Linked DNA regions of Diceros bicornis minor. The protein of the gene in region 1 interacts with the protein of each later gene in a biochemical or structural test. Links are inferred from orthologs where the notes say so. Each region holds a gene or a part of one and is shown in the gene's direction. Other genes may lie near its edges.

Region 1 (3,748 bases):
GGCCAAACTCGATGAAGACCGGGACGCGGGTGCTGATCCCTACCCTGAGGGCTCGGCCGAGAGGGGGCGCTGTGGCCTCCTCTACACTCTGCCCGCTGGATTCCTAGCTGCTTTCCCCCCGCCGCAGCGCAATGCGCTCCGCTTTCCCCGCCGCAGCGTTCAGACGTCCGCTAGTCCTGCAGGGCACCGCCGTCTCCCCTTCATCTTGGGGTTCCCAGGTTCAGCCCCTTGCTGGGACCAAACTGGGCAGGCGCTTAGTTTGTAGAATGAATGAATGGATGAAAGAACGAATGAATGAAATGAATGAATGAATGAGGTTTCTTCCGCAGAGCTTTCGTGTCCCTGCGCGCACCTGGGGTGTCAGCGCCAAAGGCCTCGCTGAGGCGGGGGCAGTGAGGACCTTCTCCCCGCGGGATGCAGGGCGGGAACTGCCCAAACGCAGTCCTCAGCTCCACCTGGTTTCCGCGGAGGCTCCCCTCAGCCGGGGCTGCTCTATTCCCCAGTCTCCAATAGCCTCGCTCCCATAGATTTGCCAGAGGCCCCCAAGTCCCCTCAGACTCCTTGGACTCCCCAGGCCCGGACTTCAAGCCGGCAGGAGCTGAGAGGCTGCCTCCTCTCCCGCGCGTCTCCCCCCACCCCCCAACCCCATCCCCGGTTTCTCCCTGGGCTGCGGCTGCCGCCACTGCCGCCAGTGCGCCCCGCCGACTGCCGCAAACCGGGGCGCAGGGAAAGGGGGTCAGCGCGGCTAGGGCGCGAGGAGCTGGCCCGGGGAAGGGGAGGGGACGGGGAGGCGGGGTGGCGGAGGCAGCAGAGGGGCGAGGCGCGGAGGAGGGACCGAAGGGGAAGGGAGGGGAGAGGGAGAGAGGGGAGGGGACGCCGAGGCGAGGGGGCGGGGAGCCGAGGCGAAGAGCGGCGCGGACCGAGGGGGAGGCGGCGGGGGCGAGGCGGGCTCCCGGCGGGCGAGAGGCGGCTGCGGGCCGGGCTGAGTCAGGAAACGGCGGCCGGACTTCCTCGGGAAGGGGAGAGCGAGAGCCCGCCGGGCCGGGCCGGGCTGCGGGCCGGGGAGCGCGGAGCCGGGCGCCTCGGCGCAGGGCAGCGACAGAGGAGCCAGGCCGCCCCCCATCCCCGCCCCGCCCGAGCCCGCCCCCGCGGCTGGCCCCTCTGGGATGTCCGAGAGACCCAGGCGTCCAGGACGGTGACCGAGCGAGCCCGAGGATGGGACGGCGCCCGCAGCTCCGGCTCGTCAAGGTAAGAGAAGCGCGGGCGCCCCCAGCCCCGGGCCGGCGCGGGACACGGGTGGGCTGTGGCTGTGATGGGGGGTCAGTGGGAAGAGCTGCGCACAGGTCGGGGGCGGCCGGGGTTTGAGGGGCAGCCCAACTCCCTCTCCCTGGACCTTTGGAGCTGGTGCTGGGTGGGTGGGGAGAGAACTCAGGTGAAAAAAGAAATCGTTGTGGCGAAGCGGCCGGGATGTTGGCGGAGGAGGGGGTCCGCCCACCCGGGTAACCAGCTCTGTGCCGAGAATCGCTTTAGGCTTTGGGAGTCGACGCTTGGTTCTCCCTGCCACCCCTCCCATGCAGACCCGGCCAGGAGGCCCTGGAGATGGGTTCCTCACCCGCCCCAGCACCCTCTCATCAGCTCCCCCACTCCACACGCCCCCGCCCTGCTCCTGGGAGCTCCTTCCTATCCCTTCTCCTCCGCTGAAAGCTTCAAATCCGTGGAGATAAATGTCCCCCGCGCCTCGGAACTCTGGATCAATATCGCAGTCTCCGGGGAGGAGAGTGCATCGGCGGCGGTTGCGGTTCCTCCGCCGAGGCCGGCCGGCGGGAGCGCAGCGCTCCCCTCCCAGCCTTTGCACTCGCGGGTCCCCGCGCTGCGCCGGCGGCTCCTGCCCCGGGTCTGGCGACGCGATCCCGGCGCCTGGAGTTTAGGAAAGTCGCCAGACCGCACGTGCAGCGTCTGCGGCTGAAGTTCGGGGGCGTCGGGGGGCTGTCCGCGGGCGGCGTGCGCCAGGGAAGGGCTGGGGATCGACAGCAGGCCCGCCGCTAGTGATAGCCGCCAGCCACTTCCCAGTGCCGAGCGCTTCCCCGGTTGCTGGGTGTAGGCACGTAAGCAGCAGCCGGAGGGAGAGGTGCGGGGGCCTGGGCGCCGCCGCCGGGGAGCCCCGCGCGGCTCACGCCGGAGGATCCGGACTCCGCAGGGTCGGTGTGGACGGCCTGAGTTACAAACACAGACACCAGCTTGACTGGGTTCAGTGCATTTAAAAGCGGTTTCGTCCAAAAGGATTGAATGGATTTGGGGGAGGGGTGCGGATTGACTGAATTTCATTTTTCCATCAGTCATTAAACGTGTACCAGCTCACAAAGTGGTTTGAGTTAAACCATCAAGATTTTAAAATGCAACCGCTGCCAGTTCATCAGTAGAGACGTTCCTAGTTACTGGGTTTTTCTCCATCCTCTCCCTCCCGCTCCCAAATATTTATAAGCTGTTTTTAAAAGTGACTGAGGGCTGGTCTGATTGAACCATACCCCCTCTCCCACCCCTTAACTGAGGCCTGGGGGCGAGCTGGGAGATTATTTTCTGAGTGATCAAGGAGATCCGGGAGGGAGGGAGGAAGAAAAACATCCAGAGAGGTTGAGTAGATGGCATTGAATGGGAATATTTTCCAAAATGCTTGTGTGTACAGAACCTAAATCTAAATACACAAATCAGTTCGACCGAATTCATTCTTTTAAATGGATTCAAAGGATTTAACTGTAGGTTTTTGGTGATTTTTTTGAGTTTACGTGGTAATAGGTAAATGTTCTTTCCCTGGCCTTTCTTAGAATCATGTGCAAATCTCTGCTTAGAATTATCACGTTTTCCTAAAAGAAAAGAAACTGTTTTTACTGTTGTTGTGTGTGTGTTTCCTACTAGATAGTGAGGCGTGTGCCCTTCATGTCTGGCCTAATGAACTCAGTAGGTGTTCAACAAAAACCGAATGAATGAGAGGCAGTGAGTGAATGGGCAGTGAATACTGATTTCAGTTAAATAATTACTTTTTATTTTATTTATGTAGCATGTACAACTTGCTGGGCATTGTTCTACCTTCTTTGCAAATATTAAGTCATTTAGTCCTCATAACAGCCCTGGGAAGTAGGAATTATTACTGAGGCACAGAGAGGCTAAGTAACTTGTTTAAGATCACACAGCCAGTGAGTGGTGGAGCCAGAATTCAAACCCAGGCACTGTGGCTCTAGGGCTTTGTTTTGGTAGCTTTTACCAGAAAATATTCTAAGCCACTTAAATCTCATCCTAGACCTCTGCCAGACAAGAGCTCAGGTAGTTTTTTCAGTATGAAAGTATGAATCTAGGAGAGTTAATCCAAAATCCAGCTCTCTCCCCACCAAGTCAGCCAGGGTTGGGAAAGGGGGCCCTATTGTGGGCCTCGCACTGTGCTGATTATGATCTGGAGGAGAGTGTGTGGGGGAGAGTGTGTGAGTGTGTGTGTGCACGAGTGAGAGAAATGCGTGTGAGTGTGCATGAGAAAGTGGTTGTGTGTGTGAATGAGGGAGAGTTGATGTGTGTGAGTGTGTGAGTGAGAGAAATGTGTATGAGTATGCATGAGAGAGTGGCTGTGTGTGTGAATGAGGGAGAGATGATGTGTGTGAGAGAAATGTGTGTGAGAGAAATGTGTATGAGTGTGCATGACAGTGGTTGTGTGTGTGAATGAGGGAGAGATGATGTGTGTGAGAGAAATGTGTGTGTGTGA
Region 2 (3,748 bases), on another chromosome or scaffold:
TCATCTATTCTTCTCCCCACATCAGTGAGCATCCTTAACACTCTTTGTTTGAACTCTCTGTCGGGTAGGTTGCTCATTTCTGTTTCACTTAGTTCCTTTTCTGGGGTTTTGTCCTGTTCCCTTACTTGGAATGTATTCTTTTGCCTCCTCATTTTGCCTCTTTCCCTGTGCTTGTGTCTACGTATTAGGTAGGCCAGCTACGTCTCCTGCTCTTGGATAGGTGACCTTATGTAAGTGATGCCTTAGGAGGCCTCCAGTGTCCTTCCCTCAGTTCTCAATGTTCCAGCGTTGATCCCTATGTGGGCTACATTTGGCCTTCTGTTGTGGCCTGTTTGCTCTCCCTGTAGGTGCCCAGGGAGGCCGAGTTAATGCTCCTGGCCAGCTGTTGTAATGCTCAGCTGCTTGTAGTTGTTGTGGGCCCTTCAGTGTCTTTACCAGGTGTGGGGAGCCCAAGCACAGTTGGCTGCAAGTTCTAATACCACATTTGTGTTGCAGTATTTCTTTTAAGTGAGTAGGCCCCCAGCGTGGCAGGTTGTTAGGCTCAGGGCCTTACAATTGCTGTAAGCCTCTAGCCTATTAGGTCTCTTGTCAGCTCTCTGAGGATTGCAGCTGGGTGGGGCTGGCCTCAGGCACAGGAGCACCCAATTGTTTCAGGCTTTGGAAGGTGGGGCAAACCCCCTATGTGGGTCTTTGAGCAGCACAAGTCTTCTGCAGCTGACAAGCCCTGCTGCCCACAGGTCCATACACACAGTCAACACATTCCTGCCCCGTGTGCGCGCCCCGACCTCCCCAAGCGGACCCAGTCTCTCCACGGCGGGAGCCCCACACACTCCGCCACCGCCCCACACTCTCCACCCGCTCCTTGTGCATGCCCTGCCCCGCTAAAGTCAGCTCAGTTGCCAGGCTGCAGAGAATCCAGTCACCAATCTATGCAGGCCCACAAGTTGCTTGAGGGCTTGTTGTTGGGTGGGGCCAGTCTGTAGGGTGGCTGCCCACCCTGGCTGAGCTGGATTAAATCGGTGGTCTAGCGGGTGGGGCAGACCCTGAGCTAGCAGGCCCCAGGGAGAACTCCAATGGCGTCTGTGTCAGCACGCCCACACTAGGGCACAACAATGGCTGCCGCCAATGTCCCAATCCCTGGAGAGGTCTCACCCCTCACCGAGATGCACTCAGGGCCTCTCAGGTGAGTCTCGTTTCACCGCAGCACTGTGCACCTTTCTTTCTGGTGATTTTAGGATGCTTTCTGAAACGGGTGACTTTGCGCGTGGGCCCTTTAAGAGCCAGTTTTAGTTTCTTTGTGAACCGGCTTTTCTGGGGGTACTCCCCAATGTTTTAGTAGCAGGCAAGTCAGATATTAAGCCACTCATCTCGATTGTGCTGGGTCCACGAAATCTCCACAGCGGGGGCGCTCCCCGACTCGGGGCCCCGCTCCTCCAGGGAGGGTGCGTACCTGTGAAGCTGGCGGCTTGTGAAGACGGCGTTTTTTCTCTCCAGAAGGGAGTTTCTGCCTCTTCTACCTCAGTTAGGATTGTCCGTTGTTGCAGGAGTTCCTCTTATCCAGTTTTCAGTTCTGTCTCAGGGGTAATTTTCCCACGAGTAGTTGTAAATTGGCTGTGTCCGCCGGAGGAGGTGAGTTCAGAGGCTGCCTACACCGCCATCTTGACTTCCTTCCATATGTTAAAATGGCATTTTATCTCAGTGGGAGAAGCATGAGGCCTTAAAATATTTTGTTGGAACAAATGAATAATCCTTTTTTTTAATGTTTAATTTTATTTATTTTTTCTTTTTTTGGGTAACATTGGTTTATAACATTATATAAATTTCAGGTGTACATCATTATATTTCATTTCTGTGTAGCTATGTCATGTTCACCACCCAAAGACTAATTACCATCCATCACCATACACCTGTGCCCTTTTGCCCTCCCCCCCCTTCCCCTTCCCCTCTGGTAACCACCAATCTAATCTTTGTATCTATGTGTTTGTTTGTTGTTGTTGTTATTGCTGTTTTTATCTTCTATTTATGAGTGAAATCATAAGGTATTTGACTTTCTCCGTCTGACTTATTTCACTTAGCATAATATTCTCAAGGTCCATCCATGTTGTCACAAATGGCAACTTGAAAAATTAAGACTACAGCTACCATATGATCCAGCTGTTCCACTTCTGGGTATTTATCCAAAGAACATGAAAACACTAATTTGAAAAGGTATTTGCACCCCTATATGTTCATTGAGTAACCATTTTTTAAAAATGAAATTAAAGTAGATCCCTATCTACTTTCTTACTCCACACCAAAATAAATTTTTGATGAATTAAAGATTTTACTGGAAAAAAATTAAAAAACACGAAGAACTAGAAAAAAAATACCTATGACTATAATATTGCAGTGGAAATGCCTCTCTTAAATTAACATAAACAGTCCAAAGGAAACTAGCTACCGATTTGACTACACAGAAGAGTAAACTTACAAATAACATGGTAGACAAAATTTAAAGTGAAACCATAATCAGGAGAAAATATTTAAGTGTATTTTTAATAGATAAGGCACTATTATGAATCAATATTAATTTTTAAAAAGCAGAACATGAACAAAGAGGTAAACAAGTTAAAAAAATACAAATGACTAATAAACATATATTTGCTTAACTGAACTCACAATAAATAATAATTGAATGAAAACAATGACATAACATTTTTGCACATTACATTGGCCAAAACATATGTTATCTCTAGTTTTGTCTGCTTCTCGTCTGTCTGTCTGTCTGTCTGTCACAGACATCTCAGTATTGTGACAGTGAAGTAGAACAGAAACTCTCTTACACTCTTGGCCTAAGTTTCATTAGTTTGCAGTATCTCTATAGGGCAGTTTGCTTATCCTTATCAAAAGACTTAGGATTTTGCCTTATCTTTGACCACACAATCCTACTTCTATGATTTATCCTAAGATAATTATCATAGAGGAGCATATATAAACCTAAAAAGAGTTTTTTTAATTAGTAGCAACTTTAATTTGTAACAAATGCGTTCAATAAATTGTGGTACAAACATACAATGGAATAATACACAACCGTTCAAAATGATGTTTCAAAGAAGGATCTATTACAAAAGAGAAAGAAGCAGTTTATAAAACCGCATATACAGTATAATATTCATGTAAAAAATGTTTACACATGTATGTGAAAGAGAAAAGTCTGGATGGACGTGTGCACAATTATTTATAGTGGTTAATTCATGATCTTTCTTTTTAAATTTTTTCTTAACCATATTTTCTAAATTTTCTAATTTTGGTATGTATTGTTTTTTGAAAGGGGATTTAAAAAGTTATTGAAAACATTGAATTTCAGTGGAATTTGATATTATTTTCTCTAAAGATAAATATATATCACTATTGGTGAGTCAAAGATCTCTAAGAATGCCCTTTGGCAGTTTTTTTTCATTTTCTCATTTTTTATCCTAGAACTTTATATCATACTCAATTTTTCTATTTTTTTGGATAACATATAAAAGCATTTTATTTTGCTCTCATCCTAAAATTGAACTTAATATACTATCTGACACCTAGATTTTTAAAACCATTTTTCACAAAATGGCACTAGTTTTACCTTTTAAACAGCAGAAATTGCTAAAGGGAAAACTTGCATTTAAATGTATTTACTGTTCAAATTTTTATTTGTCTAACTGTTCTCCCTTCACAGACGTATCTGGCATGCTGATATTTCCTCCAAAGAGTCAGAGAACGGAACTTT

Evidence for each region. The genes of interacting proteins can lie anywhere in the genome.
Region 2: the proteins of CRHR1 (region 1) and MAGI2 form a complex in vitro, tested with the Homo sapiens proteins (2 studies listed by BioGRID and IntAct, with this or other methods). The link is inferred for Diceros bicornis minor from reciprocal best matches to the Homo sapiens genes CRHR1 and MAGI2.

The regions. Positions count from the first base shown.
Region 1 is NC_080757.1:44,380,527-44,384,274, forward strand, and holds the start of CRHR1 (corticotropin-releasing factor receptor 1), read left to right. Parts: upstream 1-1,030; 5' UTR 1,031-1,215; coding exon 1,216-1,248; intron 1,249-3,748.
Region 2 is NC_080742.1:16,782,538-16,786,285, reverse strand, and holds the start of MAGI2 (membrane-associated guanylate kinase, WW and PDZ domain-containing protein 2), read left to right. Parts: upstream 1-1,093; 5' UTR 1,094-1,125; coding exon 1,126-1,183; intron 1,184-3,748. UniProt on the Homo sapiens protein: Seems to act as a scaffold molecule at synaptic junctions by assembling neurotransmitter receptors and cell adhesion proteins. Plays a role in nerve growth factor (NGF)-induced recruitment of RAPGEF2 to late endosomes and neurite outgrowth.